Mus musculus: one gene and its partner. The protein of the gene in region 2 interacts with the protein of the main gene of each other region in a biochemical or structural test. Links are inferred from orthologs where the notes say so. Each region holds a gene or a part of one and is shown on either strand. Other genes may lie near its edges.

The links.
Region 1: the proteins of Stam (region 2) and Arrb1 form a complex in vitro, tested with the Homo sapiens proteins (2 studies listed by BioGRID). The link is inferred for Mus musculus from reciprocal best matches to the Homo sapiens genes STAM and ARRB1.

What each region holds. Positions count from the first base shown.
Region 1 is NC_000073.6:99,590,897-99,594,712, reverse strand, and holds part of Arrb1 (beta-arrestin-1), read right to left. Parts: intron 3,451-3,816; coding exon 3,315-3,450; intron 2,210-3,314; coding exon 2,125-2,209; intron 1,724-2,124; coding exon 1,651-1,723; intron 93-1,650; coding exon 1-92. UniProt on the Homo sapiens protein: Functions in regulating agonist-mediated G-protein coupled receptor (GPCR) signaling by mediating both receptor desensitization and resensitization processes.
Region 2 is NC_000068.7:14,072,401-14,076,316, reverse strand, and holds the start of Stam (signal transducing adapter molecule 1), read right to left. Parts: upstream 2,218-3,916; 5' UTR 2,021-2,217; coding exon 1,981-2,020; intron 1-1,980. UniProt on the Homo sapiens protein: Involved in intracellular signal transduction mediated by cytokines and growth factors. Upon IL-2 and GM-CSL stimulation, it plays a role in signaling leading to DNA synthesis and MYC induction. May also play a role in T-cell development.

The DNA of each region.
Region 1 (3,816 bases), on a different chromosome or scaffold from region 2:
CGAGGGCGAGTCCCCGCTTCTCTCGGTTGTTGGCCAGGAAGGGAGTCAGCGTATAGACCTTGCAGAATGTTGAGCTGGGTGCCACATTGTCACTGGGAAGTAGAGAGGCAGCATGAAGATGACTCTTATCACAGCCAGCCCTAACCCAGCCAAGACGCCTGGACTGGCCCTGTTCCACAACGCCCTCTGCCAGCAACCCTTATCTCCCAGATGCAGGCAACCACTTGGGCTGAGCCCAGCTCAAGCAGCAAGCCCACTGCCATGGGAAAGAGGAGAGGCCCACCACACACAAGCAGGACTAATCCTAAACTAGGCATGGTCACCATGCACACTTAAATAGCACACTTTTAAAAAAGATTATTTATTTTATGTATATGAGTACACTGTCCCTATCTTCAGACATACAAGAAAAGGGCATTGGATCCCATTCCATGGTCATGAGTCACCATGTGGTTGCTGGGAACTGAAATCAGGACCTCTGGAAGAGCAGTCGGTGTTCTTAACCACTGAGCCATCTCTCTAGCCCACACATTTATTTTTAGTTTTTATTTAATGATTAAGTTTTTAATTTGTGTGTGTGTGTGTGTGTGTGTGTGTGTGCCTCCATGACTGTCTGTGCACCACTCACATGCAAGTGCCCTCATTGGCCAGAAGAGCGCATCATATCCCCTAGAACTAGACTTACAAGCTGCTGTGAGCAGCCTGGTGTGGGTACTGGAAAATGAACCCTGGTCCTTTGGAGGAAGAACAGCACGTGCTCCTAACTGCTCAGCCATCTCTCCAGCCCACGTTTATGTTCAAAAGTGGGCATACAAACCATGAGTAAATGCCTGGAAGCCCCCACCTAGGTTCTACCATTGAAACTTTACTTGCTGCAATGTGTATCTATCAGTCATGCACAGGAACCTCTGTTGTTCCCTTTGGCTGGTGCTATTTTATCCCCCATCTCCCTTCTCAAAGATGAGGCAGATGCGTGCACCTGACACTGGGACAGTCCTGGAATAAGACCTAAATTTGCCTCTTGAAGGGAGCAGAGCCGGCCACATCTCAACCCCAAGCCCAACCCCACAGGAATGCTTACTGGAAGCCCAGGCAGCTACCCTTTCTCCAGACTGCAGATGCAAATATGTGACAGACTATGGCTATGACTATGTTCCACTTGGGGTTAAATGCTCTCCTGGCTCTGGGTCATTCAACGTACCCCCCAACACTCACCAGAAGTCTATGTCTCATGGCTGTAGGTTTTATTCTTAATCAACAGTGAATTTGAGAATATCCAATAATGCAAGAATATTTGGTTTAGTAATAACAGCTCCATCTCTAGAATATTAGAAACCATGTCAAAGTGGCAGGTGCAGTTGCTCACACCTATAACGTCAGCGCTTGGAAGGCTAAAGTAGAAGGATTGCCCTGATTCCAAGTAAGCTCAGGCTCTGAGTTTCAGGCCAGCCTGGTCTCAAAGTGAGACCTGGACTCAAAGACCGAAACAGAAGCCAGTGAGGCTACTCAGCACATAAAGGCACATGCCACATGAGTCCTACCCCAGGACATCTCTCTGCAGGTTGAGAAGAGATGCCTGGGCCTGGACTCAGAGCTCCCCTTTGTCCTGTCTAGTCCCACCTGTCCAAAGTCGGCTTCAGACACACTTACTCAGCCTCCTCCATGGCCACTGGGCACTTGTACTGAGCTGTGTTGAAGAGACAGATGTCTGCATACTGGCGCACTGGGGAAAGAGGGAGCAGGGGAGGTGGGTACATGAGTCAGGGGGTACCTCTCAAGATAGCCCTCAAGTTCCCTGTAGTAGGTGTGCTTGCTTAGATTGAGACAACGACCAGCATTTATCAGAGGCCACCACCCCAGACTCCACCCACACAGAAAACCCCATCAAAACCCAGTCCCTTCCATGACCAAATCTTTCCTCCCAGAACAGCTTGTCCAGGGCCCAGAAAGCCTATGAAGGGGCATGCAAAGCGGTAAACCCACTGCCCCAAGTGCCTACAGCTTTGAAGCCACTGTAGGCTGACAGCAGACCCAAGCTTCCAAAGCTACTAATGGTATCATCTCAGGCTTTTAACAAAGGCCACACCTGCAGCTATCCCAACCCTCGGTAGGATCCCCAGCTACCCGAGATCTTGATCTTCTTCACAGTCTTGTTGGTGTTGTTGGTGACGTGGACATTAACGCTGATGGGTTCTCCGTGGTAATAGATCTGTGAGGCAGATGACAGGAGAGCATGGACAGGGACACTGAACTCTGCCCCCAGCTCACCAGCCACTTCCCACTGAGATAAAAGTGTCACAAAACTACCAAGCATATGGACCTTCAGTACCACTGTGGGACCTTTCAAAGATATCTGTATTAGAAGATGACATTCCTGAACTCGGGGGACTGCTCTGCCAGTCAAGTACTTGTGTTGCAAACACGAGGACCTGAGTTTGATCTTGTAATCCCAGCACTAGGGAGGCAGAGACAAGAGGATCCCTGAGGCTCGGTGCCCACAGAGTCTAGCCGAGTTAGTAAGCTCCAGGCCAATGAGAGACTGCCTCAAAGGAGGGGGATGGCACTCCTGAGAATAATACCTCCAAGGCTGTCCTCCAGATGTACACACACACCCACCCACCCATGCACACTCACACATACACACATAGGAAAATGAAGCTGACATCTTCGGCTCCAGTCTCATTCTGACCACCAGCTAAGACAGCAATAATAGCAATGATGGTGACAACCATTGCATAACCTTGGACAGGTTAAGTGAGATGCTGTTTCTCCTTTATCCTATGTGCAGGCTTGAACAGAGTAAGGTCTCAAGTTCCTGTGGGCTCTGATGGTCTGGGTTCACAGACACATTAAACTCTAGAAGACTCAGAGAAAGAGAGGAAAGGCTAACCAGCTACTGGAGGACCTGCTCGGAATTCTCAGGGACCACCTTGTCCAGGCTCTTGTCTTTAGCTACCCCAAGAAGGAGGGACATACCCATACCCCAGTCAGCTGGCTCAGAGTCACCTGACTTCAAGAACTTTTCACCTTCTAGCTCACTGATAAGGGTAATAGCAAGGAGACCCTGAGTCCTGTTCCCCATCACCACCCTGCTGATTAGCTGGGGTTCTCCCTCCAGTTTGAAACAGGCAATTATAAGAGTGTAAGGAGGAATGGCCAGGACCCTTCCATTGCTCCTGTTCCATAGGTGCACATGCCCACCTCTGCCAGTCCTTTGGACCCCAACAGGATTCCCCAAACCCTCAAGGACAGTCCAGAGACACTGGGACCTGAGGGATAGTAGAGCTGAGGACAGTGGTGTCTGGGCCTCTTACCTCCTTATCCAGTGATGCCTCAAGGTGTAGGGGCTTGTCTGACATAAGGAACTGTCTGGTAGTCTCAGCCGTGGGCTGAGGGCCAGGTCTCTCAGGGGCATACTGAACCTTCCGGATGACTAGCCGCACAGAGTTCCTAAGGAAGATGCATGGGGAGAAAGACAGAGTCACCAGCCTCCACTCTCTTCTCTGTAATACCTAGACCCCTCTCCTGTTCAAGAGTCTACTGTAGCTCCCCATTGCCCACTGATCACAGAGGTTGAGCAGGAGGGTTTGTCACCATGTGACTCAGCCCCAGCCTCCTCAATTCTGTCCCTGAGCCACCCGACAACAGCACTTCATTTGGGTCTGCGTGTCCCAGTCCCCAGCATGATGGTAAGAAAGGGCCTATTTTTTACTTTGTGTTCCCCGTGTCTCCTAATAGTGTAAGCCGCTGGAGGATGGGAACTTCTTGCCCAGCTGGTTCACTACCACGGTCTCAGCACACGGGCCAGTACCTGCT
Region 2 (3,916 bases):
ATGGCACAAAGTATCTTTATAATTCAGAGTGATTTCTAAAAAAACATGTCTAACAGGCTTAACATAGTTTCAACTCAACAAGCACTTATTCAAAGCCAACTATGCAGCAGCCATCAAACAAGGAGCAAAATAAAGAACACATTGATATGTAATGTTTAAGACAAAAATGCTGAAATTTGTAGAACATGGGGAAGGTGAAAAATCACTGTATTTAAACAGCCCCCGAGACATTAAGTCATGTCTTTTAAAGTCATGACTGGCTGTGAGATGTTACTGGCATCCACTGAGTGAAGAGCAAATACAAAGTTAACAGCCTTCATGTATAGAGCATAACCTCCTTAAGGATTTTATCTATTCCAAACTGTCAGTAACACTGCTACTTATAAACTCCAGGTTGCAGGAATCAGCAAATAATTCAGGTACAACAAGTCAGACTCTAAGTTGACCTTAAAGCATGAGGACATATGTGTGGAAAGACACATGAAATAACAGAAACAAAAGTATAAAGGCAAGAAGGGGCCTGTGTTTGGACTGGGCGGTGTAGGTAGCAAGAACAGGTTTAACATCAAGAAATCCATCTGAATCCACTGCAAATGTGAGTTCAAAAAAAAAAAACAGAAAGAATACATATTAGGCCCTGGGTTCCATTTCCAATACCACAAAAAGGAACAAGCCAGGAGAATATAAGTGTGACTGATTAGCAGAAAGCAAGATCATATAGGATCACTATAGGTGCCAGGAACAGAGGCAGCAAATATTGTTTTATTATAAGCATTTGTCCTAAAGACTGATGTAACAAATTGTAAAACAGCCAAAGAGCCGCAATGAGATGGTCTTCATGGTTGCATTTCTTGTCAATGAACACTGTGTTCAGTAAGTACTGGTGCTAAGCACTTATTAAACACAATTTCCCAATTCATTACTTATTTAGCACTATTGATGATTTCTAAAGTTCCATCCACAGCTCAGATTCAGGACATTCAACTGAATCACTATGAACCAGGCAGGAAGCGGCAGTAATAGTACATTTTCTCCAGTTGGCAAAATGTAAAATTCACCTCTAATAAACAAAATTCATAAAGTAACTCTCACAAGTTATCCTTACATTCTTTTACTACAGTTATGCTTAAATTCAGCCTGTGGGACTGGATGGTATTGGTTCGCTTTCATTCCACACTATGCTGCCAGTGTAGTTCAATGTAATGCATTCAAAAACATCCCAAAATTCTTTCAAGAAATTCAAATCAGGTCTGAAAAATAGATAGCTAACCTGTTAAATTGGTATGCTTGGTACCTAATACCAATGATTCAGACAACAAAAAATTTAGCATTTCAGACCCCATCCTAGAATCAAAATCCTCTTCCACACTTCCCCAAAGGCAGAGGCCCAGCCTGAAAAAGGCATCCCAAAGGCTCATGTCTGCGTTTTCAGTTGTTGCCAAGTAATCCATCTCCATCTCTTCCAACATTTCAACCTACCAGTACGTAACCAGACCTCTCTCCTCCAGGGACCGTTATAGGGCTATTTAAAAAACCCTTTAAGTAACCTTACCTAAAACATTCTGCCAGTTCCATTGGGCCAGGCAAATACTTTGGCGATAGAGCATATAATCAATCTGCTTAAGCCAAGATACGTCTGTCCTTCGCTCTTCTCCCAGAAGCCATGCCCCAGCGGCAGATGGCTTCGTCGTCTGTTCCTCCCGAGGCAACCCTTTACCCCGAATCCCTTAAGCGATTCCTTCAAAGCTCCCCCTCCCCAAGTCCCTTACCAAGGCCCATTAGAGAGGTTCTAAGTCCCATTTCTTCCAAAGAGGATGCGCCAAGCGCTCAACCCTCTCCCAACTCTGAACGAAGGGGCCCCGGGAGAGAAGAACGTGGGCTCGGCCTCGGGAATCCAGAATGAACGAACGCAGTGGGACGGGAGTCGGCGCGGGCTCGCAGTCTCGGGGGGCACCCACGGGGGGCGGTGAAAACACTTACCAACATCCTGGTCGAAGGGGTTGGTGGCAAAGAGAGGCATGTCCGCTGCGTGCCGAGGTGTCCCCGGGGACTGCCCCTCGACCCCGCGGCACTCTAGGGGTGACGGAGAAAGGAGGCCCCTCAGGTACAAACACAGCAAGGGCGCCTGCCTGCCAGTGCAGGGTCCCTCTCAGCCCCTCCTCTCACCCACCCCAGCAACAGAGGCGGCGGCGGCGGCAACAGCCGAGAAGCGGAACAGGCCCCCGCGCGGGGCGTGTCGGGAATGTAGGCGACTTGAGCGCTGCCTGAACACTGCCCGCTCCGGGTCTGGCCAGAGCCCGCCGCCTCCGCCGAGGCCCACGCGATGAGCCGCCGCTGTCTCTTCCTCTGCTGAGTTCCCGCGTGCCCGTGGGGTTAGCGGCTAGGTTCTCGGCTTTTCCATGTCCCCGGGCGTCTCGGGAGGACGAGGTCCTTCAGGCGCACCGAGGCCGACTAAGAGCCTCTAGAGTGAATAAGAGACTGGGAGAGGGAGAGGGTTCAGTTTGGGTCCAGCCAAACCCTTAATTTTTAACTCCTTGGGTTTATTCGATGGGTTGTTGTGATGTTGCAATCCCTCTAGAAAGTCAGGCAGTCCTTTGGGTTACCCGAGGAAAATGTTGAGCGCGCTCGTCGAGGGTTCATGGAAGTTGCTGGGATTGGAGTCATGTGAGCTGGTGGAGCTGGCCTGAATCCCTTGGAGGGAGTGTCGAGGCGCACAGCCTCTCGAGAGGCTGAGGTAACGCTGGCTCATTCCCCAGCCTGAGATCAGAGGGAGCCTTCCTGGGTGTGGGCTCCGACTGACTAAACGTGCAGTCACTGAGTCCCTGAGAAGATTAGACCTTCTCAGCCTGAGATAAGCACGCACACCCAACGGCAGAAATTGAAAAAAAAAAAAAAACACACACACACACATGAAAAATGGAGCCAGACATTGATGAGGACTCTTGGCAACTTAAAATGTTGATTTGGTGATCTAATTTGTACATATGTATGTAACGCACGCCCCCTCCCCAGCTCCCAACACACACACACACATTGTCCTCTAAATCATGTGAAATCTAAAGAATCATCTCTTGGAAATATTACGTAAAGTTAGCAAGTCGGTCTTGCACATGCACTGAGATTCGGTAAAAAGTGCCCAAATAGGGACCCTTACAAAAAGGGAAGCTTATAAACATGTCAACAAGATTTGTATAACAGTACAAACAGCTTGCTTACTAAACAGTTAAAGTCGAATTTTGGAGGAAGAGGAGCAAACTAAAGCATCGGTTAACGTTTTCAGTCATTTAAAACTAAAAGAATCCAAGGGATGGGAAACAAAGTTGCCTGATGGGGTATAAATTACAGCATTCTTAAGAGAAAGGATGGGAAGTATATAGCCAGCTTTTGGAAATGTGCCTCTGGTTCCAGTTATTCTGAATTTTAAATCTTACAGTCTTTTAAAACATGAACCAAGATATTAATGGCAGCGTTGTTTACAATATCAAAGTTTTGATGACCGCTAAACTGTCCGACATTAAAGAGATTGGACAAACTCCTCTGTCTGTTTCCTCATAAATAAGAAACGGAAATGACAAACCATTGAAGATGAAATAAATTACTAGAAGCAAATCCCCTGTAATAGTGTCTAGCATATAGTAAGCACTCAAGTGGAATCAATAGTTATAATTGTACTTATTTGGCCATTGAAAGTAAGAGCATAGATGTGTATTTACATAGACATCTGAGTGGATAAGAGTTTAAAAGGCTTTAAAGACTGACTGAGGATGAGCCTCAGTGATGGGGTACTTGTTTAGAATGTGAGAGGCTCTGGGTTCTGACCTTGGCACTGAAAAAGAAAAAAAAAAAAGCCTTCAAATATATGTGAAAAAATTCTACAATTTTAAACAACCTGAACGAAAATATTTTCTGAGTAACT